Elephas maximus indicus: one gene and its partners. The protein of the gene in region 1 interacts with the protein of each later gene in a pairwise test. Links are inferred from orthologs where the notes say so. Each region holds a gene or a part of one and is shown in the gene's direction. Other genes may lie near its edges. The genes, in order: NIF3L1, DMRTB1, CDKN2C and SAT1.

Region 1 (7,239 bases):
AGTCAAGCGCTTAACTACTTGCATTACACAGGGACTCCTACTCTATGCTTAGAGGAAAACTATCTACCATTTCTTTGATCTACCTTTGATATGGTAAAAGGTAAGGAAATTAGGCCAGAAATTATAATGGCTGGTTCTTCCTGACCACAGTTTCACAAAAAAGTTTTTTTCTATTGTTACTGTCTTAGGGTTAGGTGATTCAATTTCAAAATGGCTATCCTGGTACATTAAACTAATTTTTCATATACAAATAATGGTACTCACCTCACAGGTTTTGGGTGTCCTCTCACAAAAAACTTCTATTTTAATATCACCTACATCTGTATGCAATGTCACAGACTAAAAGGGAGAGAGAATTTGAGAACAAGTAAGATTTCTTCACGTGACTTTATGCACTGTATTGTTTCCCTTACTGGACATCCAGTATGACAGTCTGAGTAAAAGGAGACGGAAAGAAATACTGCATCAGAGATGACGTTCACATAACAGCTCTAGAGATGAGTTATACTTCTTCCCTAAAATTTATTCTAACAGCAGGAAAAAATACCATAAGATAGATATAAATGATAAGATAGATGTAAATGTTAAAGTAAAAAGGTATTTATGCTAAAAATTGGAAACAAATATTGAGATAGAAATTAGTTTACATTTGAATTTTTTATCAGTAAAAACAAGTGTTATGTTACTATTATTGATTTAAATGGTAAATCACCAAAACATAGTTTCCACCATATCCCTTATGTAATTTTATCCTGAGAAACAGGGTTAAAAATCAGTTTTTCTTTCTTTTAATTAATTTTTTATTGTGCTTTAAGTCAAAGTTTACAAATCAGGTCTCTCATACAAAAATTTATATACACCTTGCCATACACTCCTAATTGCTCTCCCTCCAATGAGACAGCACAGTTCTTCCCTCCACTCTCTCCTCGTGTCCATTCTGGTAGCTTCTGGCCCCCTCTGCCCTCTCATCTCCCCTCCAGACAGGAGATGCCAACATAGTCTCATGTGTCTATTTGATCCAAAAAGCTCGTTCTTCACCAGTATCATCTTCCATCCCCTATTCCAGTCCAATCCCTGTCTTAAGAGTTGGCTCTGGGAATGGTTCCTGTCCTGGGCCAACAGAAGGTCTGGGGACCATGGCCTCCGGGGTCCCTCCAGTCCCAGGCTGACCATTGAGTCTGGTCTTTTTACAAGAATTTGGGGTCTGCATCCCACTGCTCTCCTGCTCCCTCAGGGTTTCTCTATTGAGTTCCCTGTCAGGGCAGTCACCGGTTGTGGCTGGGCACCATCTAGTTCTTCTGGTCTCAGGCTGATGTAGTCTCTGGTTTATGTGGTCCTTTCTGTTCCTTAGGCTCATAATTACCTTTTGTCTTTGGTGTTCTTCATTCTTCCTTGCTCTAGGTGGGTTGAGACCAACTGATGCCTCCTAGATGGCCGCTTGCCAGCGTTTAAGACCCCAGGCACCACTCTCCAAAGTGGGATGCAGAATGTTTTCTTAATAGGTTTTATTATGCCGATTGACTTAGATGTTCCCTAAAACCACGGTCCTCAAACCCCCGCCCCGGCCACGCCAGCTCTCAAAGAATTCAGTTTATTCAGGAAACGCCTTTGCTTTTGGTTTAGTCCAGTTGTGTTGACCTCTCCTGTATTATGTATTATCTTTTCCTTCACCCATAATAAAACGTATATGTATTTTTTTTTTTTTATTATCTATCAATTTCTTTCTTGACTAAAGAAACAAGTATAAAAAGCATCAAAGAATTATCTTAGGTGAGGGGAAGGACAACACACAATACAAGGGAAGTCAGCACCAGTAGACGAAACCAAAAGCTAAGAAGTTTCCTGAACACAACGAAACACTTCGAGGGACAGAGTAGCAGGGACAGGGGTCTGGGGACCATGGTTTCAGGGGACACCTAGGTCAACTGGCATGACAAAGTTTAGTAAGAAAATGTTCTGCCTCCCACTTTGGTAAGTGGTGTCTTAAAAGCTAGCAAGTGGCCATCTAAGATGCATCAATTGGTCCCAACTCACCTGGAGCAAAGGAGAATGAAGAGCACTAAAGACACAGGAAAATGTTACCCCAAGAGACAAAAGGGTCCATCAATCTGAGACCAGAAGAACTAGATGGTGCCCAGCTACCACCAGTGACCACCCTGAGAGGGAACACAACAAAGAGTCCCTTACAGAGCAGTAGAAAAGTGTGATGCAGAACTCAAATTCTAATAAAAAGACCAGATTTAATGGTCTGAGACTAGAGGAACCCCAGAACACATGGCCCGCAGACTCTCTGTTAACCCAGAACTAAAACCATTGCTGGAGCCAACTCTTCAGACAAAGATTAGATTGGATTACAAAACGTAACACTCATGAAGAGTGTGCTTCCTAGTTCAAGCAGATACACGAGACTAAATGGGCACCTCCTGGCAGGCGGCAGGTTGAGAAGGCATAAGGGGATAGGAGCTGGTTGAATGGACACAGGAAACACAGGGTGGAAAGGGAGAGTGTGCTTTCACATTATAGGAATCGCAACTCATTCCAGAGAGGGGAGAAAACTATTTTGAGGCTTTCTTTTTTCTTCTCCTTACAATAATATCTAGCAGTCAGGAGGTATGGCCAGGTAGAAGGTAGAGGATAGGTGGGGGTGGGGCAGGGCACTATTCTCATTGCTTATCTTCTACTTCAAGTTAGAACCCACTGCCTTCAAGTCCATTCTGTTTAGCAGTGAAGCACTTTGACCACTGTGCTACCAGGGCTTATCATACATGGTTATACTGTTCTGCTCCTCCAACTCCCCCTTTCCATCTCTAATAATCTTTTTTCCATAAAAGGTAAATTCTGTGCATTTTAAGTGAAAACATTAAAGAATTAAAAAATAATTTTGCTGTTTTGTTTTTGTTTGGCATCATTCTACACTGTATGCCTCTACATCCTACTTTTTCTCCAACTTGGTGCTGAAATTTTCATGCAGTTTTATTTCCCTTGACTGGATTTCTAGAACTTACACGCATTCAAAAATATTCTACAAAACTTACCATTCTTCTTAATGGTTTCAGGAAGCACTGTTACTTAATGTATCACAGTGCTTCTGAGAAAGTGAGTCTGTTTGTAAAAAACAAGAGCAAAAAAGAATTGTTTTTTTCCTCTTAATTCACGCTTGCTTATTGTATATTAATAAGAAAAAGCCTCAAAGAGCATTCCCCACGTAATACAAATCTGGTTATAGACGTAGTGAGGAGGTCCTGAATATACTTCCTCTCCCTCACTCTTCTTCCAGAGCCTCCTTGTAAGTCTTCCAACAAGTCAGGCACACTCCCCCTCCTGAGGGTGTCAGCACTGGATGTTCCCTTTCCCTGGATCCCTCACACTTAGACATTAGTACTGCTGATTCCCTCACCGCCAAGTCTGCTCAATGTCAGGTCTCATTGACCTGTAAATCCTATTTAAAATTGTTTTAACCCTCCTACCTGCCCTATTTCCTTTTCCCATCACACTTATCACTAACATACTATACACTTTCCTTATTTAAAGTGTCTCTTTCCAACACCACCTCAACCCCAAATGTTCACTCAGAAGTATCCCAAGAACTAAAACACCCGTTGTCGAATCGATTCCGGCTCACAGTGACCTATAGGACAGAATAGAACTGCCCTGTAAGGTCTACCAAGGAGCGCCTGGTGGATTCGAACTGCCGACCCTTCCGGTTAGCAGCCGAGCTCTTAACCACGGTGCCACCAGGGATCCAAGAACAAGAACTAAGATAGTGTCTATCATATAGTTAGCGCTCACCAAGCACTTGAATAAGCGAATGAAAGGATTAAAACCGTCCATTCTTAATTCGGAGCTCTGGTGGAACTGTGGTTAACAGGTTGCTAAACAAAAGGTCTGCAGTTCGGATCCACCAGCCCCTCCTTGGAAACCCTGTGGGGCAGTTCCAATCTGTCCTATAAGGTCGCTATGAGTCGGAACCGACGCGACGGCAACGGGTTTTTTATACTTCACCATTTCAGTTAAGCAAAGCCGTTGCATAAAACAGAAGATGGAGCCGGTGATGTTCGCACGACTCCGGTCGCCGGAAGTTATAGTTTTTTGGCCACCGGAAGTTGGACGCGGGGCCCCTAACAGAGGACGCTCTTTCTTACAAGTTCCTTCGGTCCTCCGTTCTTACCTGGCTCAAACCAAATCGACTAGAAAAAGGGAACCATGGGACACGCTTGACAGTGAAAGGAAAAAAAAAAAAGAAGCTCTTAATAATTACACTAAAACAAGAAGCGTAACTCGGAGCTATCCTGGGCCACCTGTATAAGTGCCTTGGTCTCAGCTGTAAAACTTGACGGACCACTTCCGTTCAACTCCTGTCCTCGGCCCAGTCTTACAACACGGGGAGCTACTGCGCAGAGCCGGAAATGGCGTTTGAGAGGCATTTCCAGGACGGGTGAGTAATGTACTATCTAGAAACCTGCGTGGATTTTCGATATCTTAGAGGTAGAGCCTAGTTAGGAGTTGATTCCGACTCATAGTGACCCTATAGGACAGAGCGGAGCCGCCCTATACGGTTTCCGAAGCTGTAATCTTTAGGGAGCAGATTGCCTCGTCTTTATCCCGCAGAGCCGCTGGTGGGTTCTAATAGCCCACTTTTCGGTTAGCAGCTGAGCTCAGAACCATTGCGGCCACCGGGGCTCCAAGTTAGGGTAGACTTCGGTTGTTGTTGGAGTGTAGGGAAAGGAGCGGAAGAGGAGGCCTTGCAGAGAACTGGCCTGTCGCAGGGGTGCATGGGACGGGGGTCCTGACTCCTGGGGTTACTGGCTGTGCCACCTGGCGCTCTTCAGTGCCCAGGAAAAGGTGCTGCGGTGGAACTGACATGAAGGGTAGATGAGAACCTAAGAGGGAATAGTTTGCAGGTTGGGAAAAAAAAAAACCTTAATGTTAGTAAACAGTAGCAGTCACAGTGTTTACTCTGGGCCGGTCATTGTTCACGGCACAATACCTTTTGAATTTTCGTGACAATCATATCAGCTGGGCACTATTATTTACATTTCTTTTTTTCAGACGGGAAAACTGTAAAGGTAATTTGCCCGTGGTTGACATCTGTGCCTTTGGGGTTCAGTCTGGCTTCAGAGTCAGTGCTCTTAACCACCATGCTGTGCTGCCTCTCATTGTCGTTAACTGCGGCTTGAAGCCAAGTAGCCTCGCAGTATCCTAATCTATGCAATGGGAATGTTCTACCATGTTTCCACGGTCTCTTTCAAATATAACAGTAAATAACTCAAAATCAGCGTGGTGGCCTACTGGGACTTCACTTTACCTCTTGCTAGACTTAGAAGAATCTAGCGAGTGGATGTGGTAACAGAATCATTAGATCTTCCAAGTCCCCAGGCTCGCGTTGTTTTTCCAGGCCTTGCACATAAGTATCCATATCCTAATGAAATACTTTCTGCTGTAAAAATGTTGGAAAAAAGTTTTTTTCTTGAAATCATTGGGTTCTGAATGTTTCATTACATTTACAATTGGCTGTGCTTTCTTGTTAAGGAGCCCTGGCGGAGCAGTGGTTAAGTGCTTGGCTGCAGCCTAAAGATGGGTGATTCAGACCCACCAGCTGGGTCTGCAAGAGGAAGATGTGGCAGCCTACTTCCCTAAAGATTGTTGTAGTTAGGTGCCATTGAGTCATTCTGGCTCATAGTGACCCTATAGGACAGAGTAGAACTGCCCCATAGGGTTACCTGTAGGGCAGAGTAGACCTGGGTTTCCAAGGAGCAGCTGGTGGATTTGAACTGCCAGCCTTTTAGTTAGCAGCCATAGTAGCAGAGATCTTAACCACTGTACCACCAGGGCGTCTCCCTAGAGATTACAGCCTTGGAAACCTTATGGGGCAGTTCTACCATTTTCCTATAAAGTTGGTATAAGTCAGAATTCACTAGAGGGCAGTGTGTTTTTTAATATCAATCGTGCATACCAGAAGATGTTTTTCTTCCAAAACCAAAAATTTTTATAGATATTAAATTTAAGAACAGAGTTGACAGTGTTATTTTTGTGGTTATTTGGTTAATCATTTACTGATTTTAATTTGTCACCTTTCATATTTTAGAGCCAGCAAATTTTTCCCAGCTCCACAATTTCCTTTTTTAGTCCTCTACCTTTCCTTTTTTTGCCAACCTTTCCAATTTTTGTTGGCTGTAGATGTCTAGAAGGCTTACAGGCTGTGTAGGCAACGTACCTACACCGTTAGCTCTCCCACCTCTTGAGTGTGGCTTTTGTGCTGTAGGTGTTAATGGTTCAGGAGCAGAAGCTCCTGCCTTTTCCTGGCCATGACCCTGCCCATTCAGAAGAGTGACCCACTAATGCATCCCATGATACTGGCTGCTGATAAAGCAATTGATTTTTTAAAAAATATTATTATTATTTTGGTAAAGCACTTTTGCCAGTATGTACCACCCTAACTCCAAATTGGAAACCCTGGTGGCGTAGCAGTTAAGAGTTACAGCTGCTAAACAAAAGGTCGGCAGTTGGAATCCACCAGGCTTTCCTTGGAAATCCTATGGGACAGTTCTCCTCTGCCCTGTAGGGTCACTATGAGTCAGAATCGACTCGATGGCAACTGGTTTGGTTTTGGTTTTGGTTTAACTCCAAATTAAGGAGCCTGGCGGTACAGTAGTTAAGCACGCTTGGCTGCTAACTGAAAGATTTCAGTTCAGACCTACCAGCCGCTATGATGGAGAATGATGTGGCAGTCTACTTCTGTAAAGATTTCAGCTTTGGAAACACTACGGGGCAGTTTTACTTTGTCCTATAGCGTCGCTATGAGTCGGAATTGACTCCATGACAGTAGGTTTGTTTTTTTGGTTTTAACTCCAAATTCTGCAAGGAAGGAGGAGACTGCCATTCTGTGAGTAAACATTAGTGCCTACCTATGCTGGTGATACTGGGATTTAGAAAACATAGTTCTTTAATTTTTTTTTTTTTTTGCTTTCAGTGAAAGTTTACCATTCAGCTTCTCCCACAAAAACTTATACACTCATCGTCATATGATCCTAGTTGCTCTTTCTACAATGTAACAGCACATTCCTTCTCTTGTCCTTGTATTTCCCGTGTCCATTCAACCAGCTCCTGTCCACCTCTGCCTTCTCATCTCACCTCTGGACAGGAGCTGCCCACATGGTCTCATGTGTCTACTTGAGCTAAGAAGCACACTCCTCACCATTATCATTTTATGTCTTACAGTGCAGTCTAATCTTTGTCTGA
Region 2 (6,968 bases), on another chromosome or scaffold:
CAGGAGCTTCTCTGAGTAGGAACCCCAGGTTTAAAGGACATGCTGTGTTCCCGGTGCTTCTTTCTTGGTGGTATGAGGTCTCCCTACTTTCTGACGGATTCTCTTATCCCTTGTAAGATAAGAAGTGGTGCAGGCCACACCCAAGGGAAACTCCCTTTACATTAGATCAGACATGTGACCTTAGTAAGGGTGTTACAATCCCACCCTAATCCTCTTTAACATAAAATTACAATCACAAAATGGAGGACAACCACACAATACTGGGAATCATGGCCTAACCAAGTTGACACGATTGGGGGGACACGATTCAATCCATGACACACACACACACATATAGTTTTTAATAAAAAAATCAGAGACTTTTTAATAAATAAATAGTAAAAAAAATAAGTACAGCAAAGCAGAGACAAACCTAGAACCTCTTGTCATTGCTGTTAGATGCTGTCGAGTCGATTCCAACTCATAGCAACCCTATGTACAACAGAATGAACAGTGCCTGGTCCTACGCCATCTCCACAACCCTTATTATGCTTGAGGCTACTGTTGCAGCTACATCTCGTTGAGGGTCTTCTCCTTGGCTGACCCTCTACCCTACCAAGCATGATGTCCCTTCTCCAGGGATTGATCCCTCCTGATAACACATCCAAAGTATGTGAGACATAGTCTCACCATCCTTGCCTCTAAGGAGCGTCTGGTTGTACTTATTCCAAGACAGATTTGTTCATTCTTTTGGCAGTCCATGGTATATTCTTCACCAACACCACAGTTGAAAGGCATCAATTCTTCTTTGATCTTCCTTATTGATCATCCAGCTTTCGCAAGCATATGAAATGATTGAAAACACCATGGCTTAGTTCAGATGCACCTTAGTCCTCAAAGTGACCTCCCTGCTTTTCAACACTTTAAAGAGGTCTTTTGCAGCAGATGTACCCAATGTAATGCATCTCTTGATTTCTTGACTGCTACTTCCATGGGTGTTAGTTGTGGATCCAAGTAAAATGAAATCCTCAACATCTTCAATCTTTTCTCTATTTATCATGATGTTGCTTATTGGTCCAGTTGTGAGGATTTTTGTTTTCTTTATGTTGAGGTGTAATCCATACTGAAGGCTGTGGTCTTTGATCTTCATTAGTAAGTACTTCCAAGTTTTCTTCACTTTCAGCAAGCAAGGTTGTGTCATCTGCATAACGCAGGCTGTTAATGAGTCTTCCTTCAATCCTGATGCCCTGTTCTTCTTCATATAGTCCAGCTTCTTGGATTATTTGTTCAGCATACAGATTGAATAGGTATGGTGAAAGAATACAGCCCTGACACACACCTTTCCTGACTTTAAACCAATCAATATCCGCTTGTTCTGTCCGAACAACTGCCTCTTGATCTATGTACAGGTTCCTCATGAGCACAATTAACTATTCTGAAATTCCCATTCTTTGCAATGTCATTCATAATTTGTTATGATCCAGACAAATGCCTTTGTGTATTCAATAAAACACAAATAAACATCTTTCTGGTATTCTCTGCTTTCAGCCAGGATCCATCTGACATCAGCAATGATATCCCTGGTTCCACACTCCCATCTGAATCCAACTTCAAATTCTGGCAGTTCTCTGTTGATGTACTGCTGCAGCCGCTTTTGAATGATCTTCAGCAAAACTTTACTTGCATGTGATATTAATATTATTCAATAATTTCCATATTTAGTTGAATCACTTTTCTTGGGAATAGGCATAAATACGGATCTCTTCCAGTTGGTTGGCCAGGTAGCTGTCTGCCAAGTTTCTTGGCATAGACGAGTGAGCACCTCCAGCGCTGCATCTGTGTGTTGAAACATCTCAGTTGGTATTCCATCAATTCCTGTAGACTTGTTTTTTGCCAATGCCTTCAGTGCAGTTTGGACTTCTTCCTTCAGTACCACTGGTTCCTGATCATATCCTACCTCCTGAAATGGATGAATGTTGACCAATTCTTTTTGGTATAGTGGTTCTGTCTATTCCTTCCATCTTCTTTTGATGATTCTTGAGTCATTTAATATTTTTCCAGTGGAATCCTTCAGCATTGCAACTCGAGGCTAGAAGCTCTTTAGATGGATATAAAGTTATTAGCGAAATTCCCGAAGAGCCAAATAATGCAGGAAGCACATACAGGTACTTCTGTCCTCTTATTAAAATGAGGCATATTTTTTTTTTAATGCAAAAAATAAAAAAGGCTCTGCATGCTTCTTTTCAGGTTTCCAGTGTCTAACGAGCCTCTTGCAGGAGAATGGCAACCACTTCCTATTCCCAGGCAGCTGGTGAGAAGTGCAGAGCGCAGCTGCCATCAGAGGCTAAGAAAATCAAGGTGGTCACCAGTCCTTGGTTCTGACCATTCTACCACTGTAAAGAGAAATGTCAAAGAAAAGACAATTAACAACCCTACACTTCACTGGGGTTGTTAACCAATGTCATAAAACAATATGTGTACTAACCGTTTAATGAGAAACTAGTTTGTTCTGTAAACTTTCACCTAAAGCCCAATTAAAAAAAAAGGGAAAAAAAAAAACTCTATACTTTTTAACCATAGTATTAACCATAACTACTTCCTTAAATAACTGTATGACTGATCCTCTGATTGATTTTAAGTTTTTCAAATTAGGTGTTGGTGGCCCTTTAAAACAAAAAAAAAAGGTCTGTCACAAATTTCTATCAAACGGCAACAACAACAACAAAAGAACTAATTTAGTAGCCTTGGGTAAACTATTTAATTTGTGCCAGCTTTTCAGGTGTCTCAAGGTTTGGTCTGGTTTACAGAGATAACTAAATTCAAGCTAGTACCAGAATACCCGGTTTTACTTTAAAGTATAAGTGTCTTTCAAGGAGCCGTGGTGATGCAGTGCTTGCAGTACTTGGCTGCTAAGGGAAAGATAGGCACTTCGAACCCATCAGCTGCTCTGTGAGAGAAAGATGTGGCAGTCTGCTTCCCTAAATATTACAGCCTTGGAAACCCTAAGCAGCAGTTTTTCTATAGGGTCGCTATGAATCCTCGTTGACGTTAAAGCCACAGTTAAGTATGCTTTACTTTGGGAGCCATCAACAAAAGTTAACAGTCCACCTTTCCGAAATGCATCCTCTTAACAAGATGAGGAGTCTTGGTGGCTGCAGTAGTTAAAGCGCTCAGCTGCTAACCAAAACGTAGGCAGTTGGACCCACCAGCCGCTCTGTGGGAGAAAGATGTTGCACTCCGCTTCCCTGAAGATTTACAGCCTTGGAAACCCTATGGGGAGTTTCTACTCTGTCCTATAGGGTCGCTATGAGTCCAATCGATTCCACAGCAATGGGTTTCGTTTGTATTAGCAACTCTTAAACGGGAATTACTGTTAAGGGCACACGCCCTTGAGCAACCATCACACTGCGCTGAGCTCTTGAGAATATTCTGGAAGCATCACCATGAACGGCTGCTTCCCTGCAGGGAAGAGAAATAAAATTCAGCAGAAGCGGCAGCTTTTGGGAGGAGATACACGGTTTGCCTTTTAGAACGCTTTTCTACTGGAATGGGTTTACAGAGAGCAACATTCCTGTGGAGCTTTAAATCTGTGGACCGTTGAAAATCGCCCCGCCTTTTTTGAAGTTACAAAATACCTTCTATCTATGGGGAGGCGGGAATAAAAAGTTTGGAGAATTAAACGCCTAAGACTTCAGCTCACCCAAATGACATACATGCAATAGCATTCCATGAAGAACTTATTCAACCCAATCCTGTGCACCTAATTACCCAATGCACAGAAATTCAGACTCTCCAAATTTTGCACCCCCCCAAAAAGGAGGGAAAATGCAAGGGTGTTGGCTGCAGTTCCGGGACATACTGAGAACCACTTTGTTACAAGTGTATCCAACGTCCCCAGCACCAAGGACTTGTGGGGCGCTGCTCATTCCTATTCCACTTGCTCTGCGGCTCCCGGAGGTGGTGGTTGTGTAATGAAGACAGACCCTACCAAGCTGGTCGAGAAGATGATTCGCACCCCCAAGTGCTCCCGGTGTCGGAACCATGGCTATCTGGTGCCAGTCAAGGGCCACTCGGGCAACTGCCGCTGGAAGCAGTGCGCCTGTGAGAAATGCTACCTGATCAGCGAGCGCCAGAAGATAATGGCTGCGCAGAAAGTGCTCAAGAGACAGGCGTCCGAGGAGGAGCAGGAGGCGACCCTGGGCGCTCAGGGGCCTAAGCCGGCCACTGGGGCCGCGGCCGCCATCCCGGGCTCAAGCCTCCGTCGGCTGTCGCCCGCCGCTTCGGGGGACTCGGAGCCCAGACCCCACGGCCGTGCGATCTCTGGCTTCCCCGAGAGGCCCCCGCGGGGCCCCAGTCCGGGCCCGAGCGCCTTCCACCCGGTTGTGAGCGGCCGCAGCCACATGGGGCCGAGCGAAGGAGCGGCAGCTGCGATGTCCAGTTCCATGGGGCCCCAGCTGGAGGCAGAGGCCGCGGCCAGGGGATGTCCCGGCCGCCTGGAGCTGCGCAGGCCTCTGCGGCCTGTGTCCAGCCCACCGTTCGCCGACCTCGGTAAGATTCCTAGGCCCCGTGCTGCCTCAGCCCCACCATCCGTTCGTCTCAGGAGTGTAGTCTTCCTGTTCCCCGAGCTGGCGGTCCAGGCTCGCCGGGATCCTGCAGGGATGGGCCGTGGGGTTGGGAAGGTGGTGGAGGTGGGGAAATGCCTTCCAAGGGTAACCTTCGTTTGAGAAGCCTTCCTCAGAACATGGATTGGGTTCAATGCGTTTTTGCAAAAAGGGCAATAGAGCGATAAAAAGGTATGGGTGGTCCGGAGGGCTTTTAATATTCAGCTACAGGGTTTGCCTTGCCATTTTCCAAGAAAAAATGGCCCCCACGCCAAGTTGGCGTTGGCTCCTCCTCTGCTGAGACTTCCGGAGCTGGTGCACCCCTTCCCGCCAGTGGACTGGAGGCTCCTCCCCCAGCGCTTCCCTGTGGTGGCCTGCTCAACTAGGACTGCGTCTGCGCATCCTTCCCTGCCCTCCCTTTGTGTAGGCTGGAGGCTCCTCCCAGAGGACCGCATCTCGGCCGCACCCTGTCCAGTGCGCCTGCGCGCTCCTTCCCGCCCTTTTCTTGGCCTGGAAGCTCCTCCCCCAGGACGTCACTGTAGGTGGGCCGGCTCAAATATAACCGCGCCTCCAGGCAGTTCCCGTCCTTCCTGGGACCTGGGGGCTCCTCCAAGACAATGCGCCTGCGCGCCCCTTCCCGCCTTTTTCTTGGGCTGGCAGCTCCTCCGACAGGGCTCCACTCTAGGTGGGCCGGCTCAAATATAACCGCGCCTCCAGGGGGTTCCCTCCCTTCCTGGGACCTGGGGGCTCCTCCAAGACAATGCCCTGTGCACCTCTTCCCGCCCTTTTCCTGGATGTGGCGGGAATGAAGTTGCTTTCCTGGTGCAGCCTCTGCTTACACAGGAGGGGCATAGTTGATTTGAGAGCTTTTTGCCGCTTTTTTTTCTCTTCCACATTGTGCTTAAATTGCATTGTTATGTCTTGCTGTTTTCAGTAGTAAAGTACAATTTTAATCACACAGATTTTGTGTGTGTGCTTTAGGTGAAAGTTTAAAGAGCAAGTTAGTCTCTCATCCAAAAAATGATACACAAATTGCTTTGCGGCATTGGTTGAAATCCCGCATTGTGTCACGCACTCTCCTCCTTTTCAGTTTTCACCCCCAGATCACTTTCCATTTGTCCAGTGTTGTTTGGGGGCAGGTGTTGCCCATTTGATCTCATATTCTTGATCTAAGAATAACGTTCCTTATGTGTGTTGTTTGTTTTATAGGCCTGCCTAGTCTTTGGCTGTGGACTCCTGGGGGCAGTGGTTAAGAGCTCAGCTGCTAACCAAAAAAAGTCAGCTGTTCAAATCCACCAGCCACCCCTTGGAAACCCTGTGGGGCAGTTCTTTCTACTCTGTCCTGTAGAGTAGCTATGAGTCAGAATCGACTCCAAGGCAGTGGATTTGGTTTTTGTTTGTTTGTTTTTAATCTTTGGACGTAAGGTGAACTTCAGAAGTGGCTTAAATTCTGAGTTAGAAGGGTGTCCAGGGACCGTAGTCTCCTGGTTCCTCCAGTCTCTGTCAAATCAGCAAGTCTAGTCTTTTTTTTGAGAATTTGATCTTTGGTTCTACATTTTTCTCCTGTTCCGTTCAGGACTCTCTGTTGTAATCCCAGTCAGAGCAGTTGGTTGTGGTAGCCGGACACCATCTAGTTTTTCTGGTCTCTGGATTGTGCTGGCTTTGGTTTATGTGGTGCATTAGTCCTTTGGACTAATTGCCCCCTTGAGTCTTTAGTTTTTTTCACTCTCCTTTGCTCCTGACTAGAAGAGACCGGTAGTTGTATCTTAGATGGCCGCTTGCTAGCTTTCAAGACCCCAGAAATACTCTCCAAGTAGAGTGTAGAACATTTTCTTTATGAACTATGATATGTCAGTTGATGTAGATGTCCCCTGAGTCTATGGTCCTTTGCCTTTGAGCCTGAGAACTTCATCCTGTAAGGTGTCATGTCTAAGAGGTTTCCCTGACAGTGCTACTTGTGTGCTCTATCGTCTGTATTAATATATGAGGAGCACCTACTGAAATTTAGAAATTTCTACCACTGAACCTGTATCTGCCAGTGGGTGCAATTCACATACAGATTTGAGACTTTAAAAAAATAAGCCTTTAGGTGTGGACATGTGTTTTCTTGGTATTTTCCCTATGGCAGTGTGGTAGAGAGCGCACAGGTCTGAGTCAGGAGGCTGGGTGGCAGGCTCCTTATCTATCAGTTTCTCTCCTCTGGATGCTCTCAAAAGGCCATTTTGACTTCTAGGACATTCTAGAAAAATCTGGGTCCTGAGGGAACAGCTGTCTGATGGAGAAGACCAACCCGAAACAGCAATCCTAGGAGAAGGATGCCTTTCCAAGGTCACAGGGTGCCTTTCTGTATTGAGTCTCTTAACAAACAGGGAGCTAATGCTTACTACG
Region 3 (7,052 bases), on another chromosome or scaffold:
CTGTTCTTTGACCTTACCACTACTCTTTTAAAAGTAACTTCCATTTAATCTTTCTTTCAAATAAAGATAATCAAGCTTATTTGTAGAGTTATTTTACCAAATTTTATTTGAATTAATTTTAGATTTATATAATAGTTAAAAAATAGTTCAGAATGCTCCTATATACCTTTTATCTAGCTTCCTCTAATGTTACTATCTTACATAACCATGGTATGTTTATAAAAACTCAGATATTAACATTGATACGACACTATTAACTAAACTCTCGAGACTTTACTTGGATTTTTCCACTAATGCTCCTTTTCCGTTCCAGGATCCAATCCAGGATATCACATTATATTTTTCATGTCTCCTTAACCTCTTCCAATCTGCGACAGTTACTCAGTCTTTCCTTGTCTTTCATGATCTTGACACTTTTGGAGAATATTGGTCAGGAACTTTGTAGAATGACCTTCAATTTGAGTTTGTCTAATGTTTTCTCGTGATTACAGTGAGGTTATGGAATCTGGGGAAGAATATCACAGAGGCGGTGTGTCCTTCTCATCATACCATATCAGGGGACATATGATATCAACATGACTTACTGCTGGTGATGTTAACCTTTATCCCTTGGTTAAGATAATCAAGATTTTTAACAATAATTACTGGTTTAGAATGTAATATATGTGAAGATTAATGCTACAACAGAGTTAAATCAAGACTTAAGTAATAAAAATGTATTGTTTAATGTTTTAATGTTCTTTAGACATCTAGTGCCTGATCTGCACTCTCAAGTAATGGAAAAGGCGTAAGATTTTAAGACCCAGGGCCTGCCTGTAAATTCCATACCCACTACTTAATGACTTTAAGTCTTAATCCCAATCAGCCTCAACTCTCACTTGAAAATTGGGTTAATTACCATATTTACCTCACAGAGTTATTGTGAATATTAAAAATGTATGCATAATATTTAATAACCATGAAATGCTATATGTTTATTAATTATTACTATTATTTTTAAACTTTTGAGTTGCTTAACCTAACCTAACCCATTGCAGTAGAGTCAATTATGACTCATAGCAACCCTACAGAACAGAGTAGAACTGCCCACTGGGTTTCCAAGGCTGTAAATCTTTACAGGAGCCGACTGCCACATCATTCTCCCATGGAGCGGCTGGTGGGCTTGAACCGCCAACCTTTAAGTTAGCAGCCAAGGGCTTAACCACCGTACCACCAGGGTTCCTTTGGATTGCTTACTGGGTACTTTTTTCTTACTTTACAAAAAGACTTTCATAAGTGGTATGAGTACCCATGTGAAGAAGCCTGCTGAATTTCAGAAATAAAATACCAAAGCCACAATTATGATAAAACGGCCCCCTGAGAGTGCCAGTCTGTTTCCCACTTCTTTTGGATCTATAAAAGCAACAAAGGGGAAGACCTTGAGACCAGGTGAAAAAACTGTAAATACATTCACATTTCCAAACATTATTCATTTAAAAACTGTGCATACTTGAGCCAACAAGGGAAATACACAAAATAATTTGACTAAATTATATTCCTATAAACCTTTCAAAATAATTGTAAATCGCTGAATGAAAAAGGTTTCCATCACTGTTAGTATTTAATATCCAAGTATAAAACCTGTATTTCAGTATTTGAGGGACATATCATTACTAAGTTAAAAGAGAAACCACTGCTTTCAATATAATAGTGTTCTTAACTGTGAAACTTTCTTGTACACCATAGTGTAAATTTATTGAGGATAGAGATGCTCATCTTAGAATCCACTTCAGTGAACCAGCACTTAATAAATATTAGCTTTTTATTGGAGGTATTTTGTAATGCTTACTTATACTCTTTGAACTAAGACTGTAATCTTTGTGCTGCCAGTTCTGATTTACACAATAGGCAGACTAGGCATGTGCTTTAGGACTCCAGCATAGCCAGAGTGAAAAAGAAAGAAAAAACTTTCTTAAAGAATTTAATAGTTCATCAAAAGCTTTGAAGTGGTCATCTTGGGAAACATCAGAACTTTGTTGAACTTCTTCACACTTTTTTTTTTTTAACTTACGTATGAGGTATGGGTGGTGGGATATCAAAATCCTTCCAGTGTTTAGGACCTCCAAAAATCTTAATCCAGCTCTGTGTTTGGTTTAAATTAATATAAATTTTATTTACACAGTAACTCATTAGAAAGTGTTCTATTTCATGAAAATTTTAACACATGTATACCCATACTTCATGTAATGAGTGCAGTTTAAGTTCTTCCTCATTACAATCTTTTCTAAGCAAGAAACCATAATCCATGCTAGAAAGCAACTCATAAATTGGACAAATGCCAATTATCTCTTATCAGCCAACGGTGCTAATATATCATCACACCTAAAAGATTACATAGTAAATTAACATAATAACTAAAAGTAAAGTATTATTACTGATATAAATGGAAATCTAAACGTTCCATTTGAAATGTCTAAGTATGTAAGAAAACAAAGAGGAGTTAATTCCTTGTGGTGTAATTCCTGCTTAATTTACAATTCAAGTTTAATAATCTAAGAAAGGAAATCGGGTTATTCCCAGCTTTAGCTATTCCTCTACTTAACCTCCCCCCGCCCCCCCATCTGTTGCTAGATGATTATCTAGGTGTTTAGCGTGTTTTGTTGCTAATACGTCCAGTACACTCCAAGGAGCTGGGTACAGATGCTGCTTGAGAATATGCTTGCTAGAGGCCAGTAGACCACTTGTCATATTTTGCTTAGTTTCAATTTGACTGTTGGTGCATCATGCAAACTATGTTGGATTTTTTTAAGAGCATAAAATGTAGAAAACAATCACCAACTGATCTCACATAGCTAAAGGAGAAAGTTAAAAGTACAGAGAGAATTGGTATCTCGGATGATTGAAATAACCGATTAGAGAAGAGAGTATTCCTTTGCATGTAGACACCTCCCCCCACCCGCCAAAAAAGTTCCCATCTAAGCAGTCAAAGAGAGAACTTTGGCAACAAAGAAACGGCCTTATTAGAAAACGTCTCCCAAGAGTCACAATAAAAAAATTTTTTTTAAGTTAATTGCTTTTCTCCCTGTCCGCCAAGAATATTTCACACTCTTGTTAACCTCTAGAACATTATGGCTTTTGAGTACGTTATGATTTCTTAAACTTAGGCCCTACACCATGTCTTAAGTTCTCGGATGCTTTTTCTGAGCACTGTTCTTGCTGTCATTCCGGGTTCTCTCCTTCACCCCCTACGGCCACTTCTGCCCACGACAGCTCTCGGAGTTGATCTGGCAGGTGCGAGGCCAAGGCCCGCGGCTGAGCGAAGGAGGCCGAGTTTACACAGCGCGCACCCCAGAGGAGGCAGGCTGCAGCCGTAGGCCTGGCCGCCCGAAATTCGCGAGCCTGGAGGGAGAGCGCGGGGGCAGGCCGGCCCGCTCCGCCAGGCCCGGAGAAGGGCTCGCGGTGCGCCAGCTCGCTCTCAGCCTCCCAGCAGCCAGCCCCGCCGAGCCTCCAGGCCCTGCAGCTCTCCATAGCCCTCTACAAAAAAACCTCTTCCTCCCCGCCCCCACCCCCGCAGTGCTCGGGGCAGCAGAGGGTTTCGCTTCGCAGACTCCAGCCCGCCCGCCAGCCGGAGGAGGCCAAGCCCGGCTCCGCAGGGCCGAACGCCGCTCCAGCTGGGGCCTGGACGCCGGGCTGGCGGGAGGGAGACAGCGCGAGAGACCGAGGGAGGAGGCGGGGAGCTGGGAGGCGGGAGGAAGGGAGCTTGGGCCTGGGGGGCGGAGCCAGGGAGCCCGCGAGCGAGAGCGCCGCCAGGGCGGAGGGAGGAGCGTGGGCGGCGCCCTGCCTTCCCGCTCCCGCGGCTCAGCAACTCTGCGGAGCGTCCTTAAAACTCTGCCGTTAAAATGGGGGCGGGTTTTTCAACTCAAAAAGCGCTCAATTTTTTTCTTTTCAAAAAAAGCTGATGAGGTCGGAAAAAAGGGAGAAGAAACCGGCACCTTCTCTGCAGCGGCAACAGAAGCAGCAATTGTTTGAGCGAAAAAAGAAACAAGGGAGGGAGGGAAGGAAAAGAGCAGAAAGGGGGACGACGCGCAAGTGCCTGTAGGAGTGAAGGGAGCAAAGACTGGCAATTTGGGGGGGACCAGCTACAAAAGAAACTAACTGTCACTGGGAGCGCTGCTGCTCGGGAGGAAGCAGTGCTGCCCGGCTTGGCTCCAGGGCACAGCTGGCTGCTGGCCGCTACCCTGTTGGCGGCACAGGCTGGGGGCACAGGCCGGGGGACCGCGAGAGGTTGGCGAAGTGGCACGGGACGCCGAAGCGGCTGGGCTCTCGCCGAGAGCGCGGCGGGACTGGCTGCGCCCTGGCGCTGTGGCGACTCTCCACAGTTGGAGCCTAGCTTAAGCTTCCCGGGAACCTTCCGCTCTCTGGAAGCCCCCAGAAAACCGGGAAAGGAAGGAGAAAAGCGGCGGCAGCTCAATGAGTGCCTACAGTAGGAAGCCAGAGCTGCCTCGGTCGTAGGCGGGAAATTACCGCTGGGCTGCCCGGTGCAGCCGCGATGCTGCCACGACCTGCCCCAGTGGTCCGGGCCCCATAGACGCTTCCCCACATCGCTCTCCTTCCGCAGGCTGCCGGGAGTCGGTGGACCGGGTGGAGCCGGCATGAAGGGCTTGCCGGGGGCCCGACGCGCGCCCGGCAGCCTGTGGAGAAGCGCTCCGAGCCCGGCTCCCACGGCCTCTGAGGCTCGGCGGGGCTGCGGCAGCGCGGCGGACCGGCTCCGGAGTCTTCCTGCGCGGCATTAGCCCGCTGCTCGCCCCCGACGCGTCTAAAGGCTCCTCCTGCGAAGCCGAGACCACTGGGGAGTGGTTACGACCTGTAACTTGAGGGCCACGGAACTGTTACCCCCGTTTGCCTTTGGCGATCATCTTTAACCCCCGGGAGCACGTAAGCATCCAGCCACCGCGGCGCTCTCCCTGTAGCGGAGGACTCGGGACTACCCCTTCCGCGCGACGGATGGAGACCGAGCCCCCCGGAGGACCTGCCCCTGCAGTTCTGGCTTACGCAGCTCAAGTCACCACAGTGAACAAGGGTGGGTTATTGCCTTTTCTCCCCTCCCTCCTCCCAGCGTCTTTTCTTCCGCGGTATTTTCTGCCCTGTCTAGTCCTTTAAGTCTCAGCACGTATTCCTCACAGAGATCTGTAGCGAAGGTACGTGACAGCTCTGCCTACATCTTACGTCCAGAGTAATTTACATGGAATGTAAGTGTGTTTGTGTGTCTCTCTGTTGAATCACCAGAATTCTTCATAGGGGTTAAGCTAAAAAGCGAGGAGAGCAGCCCCTCTCCAATGGCTCAGTTTTGCTGAATAATCACGTGTGAATCTAGGGGCGGGCTTTTGGCAGGCAGATCTTACTAGTATTTACTACCAAGCTCTACTCCAGAAGATTAACCATCCCAGTCCTTCTGTCAGTCTCCGATGCCATCATGCAGCCTGGTTAGGAGCAAAAGAAAGGGGAGAAAGAAAAACAACTAATTCATCTTTTCCCGATCGTCAGGACCCTAAAGAATGGCCGAGCCTTGGGGGAACGAGTTGGCGTCCGCAGCTGCCAGGGGGGACCTAGAGCAACTTACTAGTTTGTTGCAAAATAATGTAAACGTCAATGCACAAAATGGATTTGGAAGGACTGCGCTGCAGGTTGGTATCCAGAGAGGTGGGGAAAACAGGTCAATAATGTTGCCTACGTGACCCGGGTTTCTAGAGTGACAGTTTTTAAGCTTGTAGGGGTACAAAATTTTACTGTTTTTAAACCTAGTTGGTTGCCATATTTTATATCTTTAAGTGGATCCAACTCCCCAAAATGACGTACTTTGAACAAGCTCGTCGAATACAATAACATCCTCGATATCAAGTGGGTTCTAGGTTTAGTCTTAATTTTTGGAATGTTTTTGTGACGGTGGGGATTTTAAAGTAGTCATAGCAGCGCCCAGGTTTTTTTTTTTTTTCCAAATAACTCTGTAAACACATTATTGTGATTATTATTTGAAGTAAATACATTGTTATTAGTGGTTTCACGTACTTTGCCCCAATAATTGACTTTAACATTAATTTTATTGACTACTGTCGAGGGTGTTTTTCCTTCAAATGCTTCAAGTTTTGACAAACGACCTCTCCTCGTTTGGAATGGGTGGCCTGGGCACGGGGACAGGATGTACATTTCACAGTTAATGTAATACCATCCTCCCACTCAGGACTGGGGAAGAATAAAAAGTTGAATTTTCTAATCAGAACTCAACTTTAGTGTTTTCGTATCTGCGGTCATGCCAGTGGTATGCTCTAATTTTTAGTAATTAGATTTACAGGCAACAATTGAAACATTTCCAACTATCAAGTATTGTACCTAATAATTTTTTTCCTCCTCTGAATGTTATCATGTAACTTAGCGAAAGGCTTAGAAACAGAAATAAGGCAAAGTAGCCTCAGATAGTTGTTTTTATCAGAGTTCTGACGATATTCTTATGAACTATTCTCATTCGGAAATGCAAGACTTGAAGCTGTTTTTGAAGATTCATTAGGGAGAGGGTTTTTAGAGTGCTTTATTTTAGTAACAAGAATTGGAAATTTAAGCAATAGGAGATATACTATTATAGATGAAGTCCATATAGCGTTTACATTTTAAATCAGAATATACTCACCTTTAAAATTTTTCAGTATTAAGGAACATACGCATAGATAACTAAATTATTTATCTTGTTATTGTGGGTGTATTAATTAGAGAAAGGAATTTTTTTTTCCTTTTCCACCTAGTAGTTTGGAACGAGTTTGGTGATGATAGCAATGCCACAAATTTAATATACTGAAAAGTTACCTATTGAAAAATCTCAAAAGGTTATATAAATCTCGCAAAGAATGTGTCATTTACCCATGTTTAGAATAAGATCTTACAGTGCTTTTGACGATCAGGAAGACTGGGAGATTAACACTGCAAAAAAAAAATTGACATTTTTAATATAACCCTGCAATCTCATTTATGTTAAACATACTTACCATGATAGTAACACCCACTTACTGTGGCTTAGTCCCAGT
Region 4 (7,912 bases), on another chromosome or scaffold:
TGCTCCAGCTGGTAACCCAAGGGTCGGCAGTTCGAATCTGCCAGGTGCTCCTTGGAAACTCTATGGGGCAGTTCTACTCTGTCCTATAGGGTCGCTATGAGTCGGAATCGACTTGACGGCACTGGGTTTGGTTTAATCCACCACACTATAAACCAACTGAGTATCAGTCCTGCATGTATATATGGATAGAAAAAAGACTAGAAGGAAATCAACCCGTTAACAAGAATTTTTTTAAATTTTATTGTAGTAAAAGATATATAACATTTGCCATTTTAACCGTTTTTAAGCATACAATTCTATGACATTAATTACATTCACCATGTTGTGCAGCCCTCACCACTATTTCCAAAACTCCACAGCAGCTGGTTTTTCTACTATACGGGGCTATTCCAAAATTACAACCAAGGGAGGTGATGGTGCGACTTTGCAGGCGGTGGGTGCTGGCTAATAGGGGTTATTTGTATTGTCTTTTTGTATTTCTGCATTTCTCAATTTTTCTTAATAAGTATGTATTACTTTTATGAAGGAGCCCTGGTGGTACAGCAGTTAAATGCTCAGCTGCTAACTGAAGGGTTGGCAGTTTGAACCCACCCAGCGCTCCTCGGCTCCTCAGGAGAGAGACCTGGTGACCTGCTCCTGTAAAGATTAACCCTTTGCCTTTGAGTCGATTCTAACTCATAGCGACCCTATAGGACAGAACAGAACTGCCCCATAGGGTTTCCAAGGAGTGGCTGATGGATACAAACTGCCAACCTTTTGGTTAGCAGCCGAGCTTTTAACACCGGGCCACCAGGGCTCCCCCGTAAAGACTACAGCCTAGAAAACCCTATGGGGCAGTTCTACTCCGTCACGTGAGGTAGCTATGAGTTGGAATCGACTCAATAGTACTCAACAACAACAAGTACACTGCTTTTACAAGCAAGAAAAAAAAAACACCTTTCATTAGAGTTTAATGGGGCAGATTGGACAGCTTCACTTTGGCACCAAAATCAACTTCTTTGCTAGTTCTACCACTTCTTAAAAAAAAACACTTAATCCCTCTGAGCTTCGGTTTTCTCAGCTGTAAAAATGGAGGTAATATTACCACTTCCCATGATAGTAACTGTGAGGATTAAATGAGACAATGAATGCAAAACACCTAGGTGTTTTCCCTTTCTCCCATTCTCCCCCTTCTCAGTCCTCCTCAGTTTCAGGAATTCTCTTTCTGACAAAGATTAAATTCTGTTGTAGTAAACTGCACACACATCTATAAAAGTAAACTGTATATGGTGAGGGCTGGTTTCAAAACTTAGTTATCCTCTATACTCCAAGTACCTCGCACAAGGCTGGATAAGTGCTTAATAAATACAGTAAAACCCTGTGAAAGGTGGAACCAGTGTAAGGCGGAAACCTGTCAGAAAAGGAAAATTTAAGTATTTTCCACTAACAGAGAGGGACAGAAAAGTGGTAAGACTGCACCCTGTCAAGGGCAGAAAATGTGCAAGACCAGAAAAACAAGGGGTTCTGGTTCTCACAGGTTTCATTGTATTTGTTGATTTGTTGACTCATTAACCAAATAAAACTTTTCCAAATGCTAGGTAGTTACTCCCCTTTTTATGCAGTAAACTAAAAAAAAAAAAAAAAACCCACTGCCGTTGAGTTGATTCCAACTCACAGCAACCCTACAGGATAGAGTAGAACTGCCCCATAGAGTTTCTAAGGGGCGTCTGGTGGACTTGAACTGCCGACCTTTTGGTTAGCAGCTGTAGCACTTAACCACTACACCACCAGGGTTTCCTTTTATGCAGTATTCAATACAAACTCCAGTATCAGGAGGGAGTAATGGCTCACCCATAGCACCTATCTAAAATGGAATTAGTCTAAAATTTCAAAAGCATAACCCGATTCACTGCCATGAAGAAAACTCAAATTTCTTAGGGTTCTAAGCTTCTACACATACACAACCACAACAGGCTTTTTTTAGCCACCTATACTCTGGTGGCACAGTGGTTAAGTGCTCGGCTGCTAACTGAAAGGTTGGCAGTTCGAACCCACCAGCGGCTCTGTGGCAGAAAGATGTGGCAGTCTGCTTTTGTAAAGATTTAAGCCTTGGAAACCCTGTGGGGCAGTTCTAGCTTGTTCTGTAGGATTGCTATGAGCTGGAAGTCACTTGACAGCAGTGGAATCTTTCAGAATAGGTCCCTGGGTGGTACAAACGGTTTGCACTTGACGACTAACCTGAAGGCTGGCGGTTCGAACCCACACAGCAGCACTGTGGAAGACAGTTCTGGTGATCTCTTTCCATAAAGATCATAGCCAAGAAAACACAACGGAGTTCAGTTCTACTCTCTAACACATTGGGTCACCGCGAATTGGAATCGACTCGGCGGCCATCTCAGAACACGCTCTTCTTGTCCACAAAGGCAAAGGGAAGCATGAGAGCATGAAACAAACTGGAAAAGCAGAGAAGAAAAATCATGATTTTTCATAACCAAAAAGTCATAATTCTAATAGAACACTATTCTAAAAAACTACGCAACCCAAATAGGAAATGGCCTTGTTCGTGCTCTAACTAGGCAGCTACCATTAGTTCTTAGTCATGAAGGACTAAATTATCAGTAAATCTGTAATGAAAAAAATCTGTTGCCATCGAGTTGATTCCAACTCACAGCAACCCTATAGGACAGAAATCCTCCACAGGGTTTCCAAGGAGCAGCTGGTGGATTCAAACTGTTGACCTTTTGATTAGCAGCCAAGCTCTAACCACTGCACCATCAGGGCTCCAAATCTGTAGCAAGCTTTCCTAAGTTCTCTCATTTTAGAAAGCAGAGGAAGGAAGGTCCTCTGAATGATCATTCAGGAGGTGTAGCTCATGCTGTTAGGAAAGATACTACCCATAGTAGATTAAGCAACCTGATTTTGACAGATTTTTTGAGAAAGACGTTTCTTAAATTTCCACAGTGACTCACTATGTGTGCAATCCTGGGTGGGTGGGAAGGAGAACTGAGAACCTACTTTTGATTTTTTTACATACAGTTTATTGCTAGCAAAGACAGAGAATTACGTGTTGAATGTTAAAACCAGTTGCCTCTGAGTGGATTCTGACTCATGATGACCTCATGTTGTGTCAGAGCAAAACTGTGCTCCATAAAGTTTTCAAAGGCTGTTTTTTTCAGAAGTAGATTGCCAGGCCTTTCTTCTTAGGCACCTCTGGATGGAGTGGAATCTCCAACTTTGGTTGTCAGTTGAGCTTGCTTACCATTTGTACCACCCAGGGACTCCTGTTGAATGTCATTTGGTGATAGCCCTGTGGTCATTTGGTGATAGTTCAACTCCTCATTCCACAGACTGCAGATGCTGCAAGCCCCTTTTCTTGCTTTCTCTCACTGTGAAAATCATCTTTTGACTTAACCCTGAGCCTAGGCAAGGCTGGAGGAGCAAGGTTTGTCTGGGAAGGTGGTTGTAAAAGAAAAACTCATTCTGCAGAAGCCTGAATACTTCTTCCAGTGGGTACAAACAGGAAGAAGTTATACAGTACTCTAATTCAGCTGTTCTCATTTTGGTCTCAGGACATTTAAAAAATTATTGAGAAACCTAAAGAGCTTATCTTAGAAAATTCTAGAAAACATAAGAAAACACAAGCACACATTTCTCTAGTCATCCAAACAATGATGTCATCACACATCCTGTGAATTTATTTCAAAATAAAGTTTAAAAAAATAAAAATAGTACAGAGGATGGAGCAAGTAGGCATTACATGTGTTTAACTGCAGCTACAGAAGGACAGGAAAGACAAAATAGGGTGGAGATAAAATAGGAAGAATTACTGGCTAAGAGTTTTCCAAAACTGATTAAAGACATTAACCAGGAGATTCAAGAAATGTAATGAATCCAAAGAAGAATGAATATTTTTTAAAATCTATACCAAGACACATCAAAGAGAAACTGAAGAACACGAAACACTAATAAAAGATACAAAAATATTTGGAGGAAAAATTATGTATTAATTTTAAACAATTAACTTTCTAAACAATTAACTTTTCTACAGCACTGGAAGCCAAAAGATAGCCAAATAATACATCAATATGTAGAAGAGAAAATAATTTTCAACCTCAAATTTTATAAGCAATGAAAAAAAATTCTTCAAGAAATTTAAGATGAAGTGAAGACATATTCAGCAAAACTGAGAAAGTTTGACAAAAGCAAACCTTCACTGAAGGAAATTATGAAGAATGTACCTCAGGCAGAAGAAAAGAGTTTCCACAAGTCAGAGATTTAAAAAGGAATAGTGGGGCGGGGGATACGTAACAAAGAAAAAACTTCACTAACTCTAAAAACAATTGCAAGAATAAGAAAAAGAAACTGAAGAACCTAAACAGCTTACCTTAGAAAGTTCTAGAAAACACAAGATACACGAACACAGTCCTTTAGTCATCAGAGCGATGACGTCATCACACAACGGGTCACCTTTGGAAAATTCCGAGATTTAAAAAGTCAAATGACGTTACTATTATTATGAAAATAGTTCTGCCTTAGACCTTCTCCGACCGTCCAATGCCAGGTCTCCAGAATTTGGTTCACCGACGGGCCAAGGAGAAGGCAGCAAGGTCACAGGTTGGGGGACACAGGGGAAATTCCATTATTTGCAAAAATTACTGGGGCGCGCGGTTTCCGGGAATATTCCATGAGGCGCCGCAAGAGGGCGCCGCTAGAGAGCGCCGCTGCGCGAAGCCGCCGCGCCCCAGGCTACTCTCGGTCACCGCCCCCGCTCGCGCCTGCTCAGCTCACACGGGCTCGGAATTGAGAGCGAAGCCGGGGGAAAAGGGGTGGGGGCAGGGGGGAGGGCCGCGATCTCATTGGGCGAGATGCCTCCGCCTCACGGCCCGGGGCGGGGCTCCTTCGCACTAAAAAAGCGGCGCTGGCCGCAGCTTCTACGCGTAGCGTTAGTCTTCGCTCTGGTGAGGGTTTTTTGTCGCTTGCCGAAGTTCGCCGGGTCATGGTGCCAGCCTGACTGAGAAAAGGAAGCTCCCGGGAGACGAATGAGGAACCACCTCCTCCTGCTGTTCAAGTACAGGGGCTTGGTCCGCAAAGGGAAGAAAAGCAAAAGACGAAAATGGCTAAATTCGTGATCCGCCCAGCCACCGCCGCCGACTGCAGTGATATCCTGCGGCTGATCAAGGTAGCTGGCGGCTCGGGCGCCTCCTGGGCCAGGGTGGGGCGGCCTCTTTCCGGGGAGAGTGTGGGTCTCTGGGACTGGGTCGCTGCTGGAGAGCCGGGGCGGTTCCCCTGCCCCTGCCCCGCCCTCTCCTGCCGCCCTCCCCTCCCGAGCCTCATCCCCTTCCTCTGAGTTGTCGGTGGCCTCACTTTGTTTTCTGTTCTCTCTTTTTTCTTCTGCGTGCCTCGCCCCAGGAACTGGCTAAATATGAATACATGGAAGAGAAAGTAAGGTTAACTGAGAAAGGTAACGCAACAGTGGGGCAGGGGGGAGGGACAAGAGTCCGGTGCCTCTCACCCACCCCGAAGCCAACACTGTGTCCCTCCTTGCAGATCTGTTAGAAGATGGTTTCGGAGAGCACCCCTTTTACCACTGTCTGGTTGCAGAAGTGCCCAAGGAGCACTGGACTCCGGAAGGTAGCCACCCCTCCCCTTCCAGAAGCTGGTCAGAGAGACTGAGTGTTGTGTAAAACGTAGTGTCTGCTGTGTAGAACCACTAACTACCCAGGCCCAAGTTACTTAGTGAGAAGTTGGCCAGAAATAATAGCCAGCCAGTGTGGAAAACTACTGAGGAGGAAAAAACAAAAACAATACATGTGCCGCACTTAATGTTGTTGGGTGCCATCTAGTCGTTTCCGACTCGTGGAGACGTCATGTGACAGTAGAACTGCCCCTAGGGTTTTTTCGGCTGTAATCTTTACGGAAGCAGGAAAAGAACTGTTTAATTATCAGTGCTGTGAAGACCCAGAAAAGTTAGGTATAATGTCTTTTGTTGTAATTCAGTTTCATAAAATGGTTCTTGTTTGACCCTAACGTAACCTTTTTTGTAATTGTGTTAAATTGCATTTTTTTCTTTAATTTGTCCCAATCTTCAGGTTACAGTCTCTAGCTTCGCCATGTACATGGCCCTTCCGTGTACATGGATGGGCGGGGAGGTAACTAAAAGATCCTTTACACAATAAAGTAGATGATCATGATAAATGAGGTAAGGCCCTATTATCACACACTTAAAACACGGTAGATCAGAAACTTCATTATACTCGCTTCCTGTTTGTTTGCAAAGGAATATAAAATGGCTTGAAAGTTTAATTTAAAACCTTTGCCTCCCTTTGGAATTGTGGATACCTGTTAAGACAGAATCCGATGCTTGGTTTTTTTGTTTTAGTTTTCATATTTTTGCTGGTCCTTGTTGACTGGTCAGAAGATAAGAGCTAAAAGGGGAAGTTGTTTGGGTGGGAGATTTCTTAAGCTTTTTCTGAAGTTGGTTCCCCAAGCTAGAAGAAATGAGGTGCTTTTTAAGACTTATGGATGTTACATAATAGCTGTTCGTGGCTACTGCTGCTGCTTCTGGCTTTAAAACTGGGGAAAGCAAATTGGGATATGTGTGAATTGGAAGGCAAGTTCTGAAATTAAACGTTGCACCTTTAGCCTGATCTGACCTTAAGGAAGCAGAGTTTCCAGACAACACAATTAATATTCTGAACTGCCGTGTAAACCTGACTTATTCCCCAATCAGCATACCAGTATATCAGTAGGATGTGAATAATATGTGTGTTTACTTTAAAAACCATAGCAGTTTAGCTCTGGCAAGTAATTAAAGCATTCTTGCTTCCTGAGTGTGAGCTCCAGCAGATTGAAGAGAGGCCAGCCCACAGTTCTAGCCTGGCTTCAACTAGCTCTAATGTGTGCTTTTTGCAAATAAGTGTTCTGAAAACAGTGAGGTTGTCCAACAGTGGCCTGGGCTGCACTATCATAAAAGGAGACAGTCTTAATTTAGTGGCTACTTGTTTCTATAATATATGCATGTCTGTTTTTTTTAAAACCTGTGATAGGCTTCTGTTTTGCAGCTACAACTTTTGTGGATTTTTCTTCTCTAGAACTCATGTGATACTCTTATTACAGGACACAGCATTGTTGGTTTTGCCATGTACTATTTTACATATGACCCGTGGATTGGCAAGCTGTTGTATCTTGAGGACTTCTTTGTGATGAGCGATTATAGAGGTATGGCTGAGTACAGAGGAGTGGGTTTAAAGAGAAATATAGGGCGTTAAATCCTTAAAATGTTTTTAATTGTACTTCTCTTTTAGGCTTTGGCATAGGATCAGAAATTCTGAAGAATCTAAGCCAGGTATGTCTTAGTCTTTGGCTTCTTAATTTGTAAGGATTACTGGATTTATTTTAATGACTGAATCAAATTTAGGTCTGGGGAAAGCAGGTGAAATGTCACTGAGTTTTGTTTTCCTCCTCCCCCTTAACAATAGGTTGCTATGAAATGTCGCTGCAGCAGCATGCACTTCTTGGTGGCAGAATGGAACGAACCATCTATCAACTTCTACAAAAGAAGAGGTGCTTCTGATCTGTCCAGCGAAGAGGGATGGAGACTCTTCAAGATTGACAAGGAGTACTTGCTAAAAATGGCAGCAGAGGAGTGAGAAGCGCCAGTGCAGACAATGACAAGTTCCATTCTATTTAGGAAAAATTCTCAGCTTCTCTTGCTTTCTAACCTGTTTGTAGTGGAATAATAGAAAGAGCTCCCATTCCAAAGCTTTATTACCAGTGGCGTTGTTGCATGTTTGAAAGGCAGTCTACTTAAAATGGCAATTTTGTGTTCAGATTGGAGTCAGATTTTTCCTTGAATTTTTTTTTTTTGATAAACAAGGTGGTATGATCTTTATATGTGAAAAAAAAAACTTCATTCTTGTGAGTCATTGAAATG

What was found.
Region 2: the proteins of NIF3L1 (region 1) and DMRTB1 interact in a two-hybrid assay, tested with the Homo sapiens proteins (2 studies listed by BioGRID and IntAct). The two-hybrid records come from large-scale screens. The link is inferred for Elephas maximus indicus from reciprocal best matches to the Homo sapiens genes NIF3L1 and DMRTB1.
Region 3: the proteins of NIF3L1 (region 1) and CDKN2C interact in binary tests that used the Homo sapiens proteins (3 or more experiments, as listed by UniProt). The two-hybrid records come from large-scale screens. The link is inferred for Elephas maximus indicus from reciprocal best matches to the Homo sapiens genes NIF3L1 and CDKN2C.
Region 4: the proteins of NIF3L1 (region 1) and SAT1 interact in binary tests that used the Homo sapiens proteins (3 or more experiments, as listed by UniProt). The two-hybrid records come from large-scale screens. The link is inferred for Elephas maximus indicus from reciprocal best matches to the Homo sapiens genes NIF3L1 and SAT1.

The regions. Positions count from the first base shown.
Region 1 is NC_064824.1:99,577,476-99,584,714, forward strand, and holds the start of NIF3L1 (NIF3-like protein 1), read left to right. Parts: upstream 1-4,232; 5' UTR 4,233-4,406; coding exon 4,407-4,435; intron 4,436-6,130; exon of another isoform or gene 6,131-6,883; intron 6,884-7,239. Other genes in the region: PPIL3 (peptidyl-prolyl cis-trans isomerase-like 3), read right to left, coding at 265-339, 3,790-3,831. UniProt on the Homo sapiens protein: May function as a transcriptional corepressor through its interaction with COPS2, negatively regulating the expression of genes involved in neuronal differentiation.
Region 2 is NC_064821.1:96,785,875-96,792,842, forward strand, and holds the start of DMRTB1 (doublesex- and mab-3-related transcription factor B1), read left to right. Parts: upstream 1-3,950; coding exon 3,951-4,527; intron 4,528-6,968.
Region 3 is NC_064821.1:93,990,969-93,998,020, forward strand, and holds the start of CDKN2C (cyclin-dependent kinase 4 inhibitor C), read left to right. Parts: upstream 1-4,047; 5' UTR 4,048-5,059; intron 5,060-5,083; exon of another isoform or gene 5,084-5,177; intron 5,178-5,233; exon of another isoform or gene 5,234-5,523; 5' UTR 5,524-5,534; coding exon 5,535-5,663; intron 5,664-7,052. UniProt on the Homo sapiens protein: Interacts strongly with CDK6, weakly with CDK4. Inhibits cell growth and proliferation with a correlated dependence on endogenous retinoblastoma protein RB.
Region 4 is NC_064846.1:155,343,716-155,351,627, reverse strand, and holds the start of SAT1 (diamine acetyltransferase 1), read left to right. Parts: upstream 1-4,900; 5' UTR 4,901-5,092; coding exon 5,093-5,158; intron 5,159-5,388; coding exon 5,389-5,440; intron 5,441-5,526; coding exon 5,527-5,610; intron 5,611-7,095; coding exon 7,096-7,197; intron 7,198-7,283; coding exon 7,284-7,324; intron 7,325-7,457; coding exon 7,458-7,628; 3' UTR 7,629-7,912. UniProt on the Homo sapiens protein: Enzyme which catalyzes the acetylation of polyamines. Substrate specificity: norspermidine = spermidine >> spermine > N(1)-acetylspermine. This highly regulated enzyme allows a fine attenuation of the intracellular concentration of polyamines.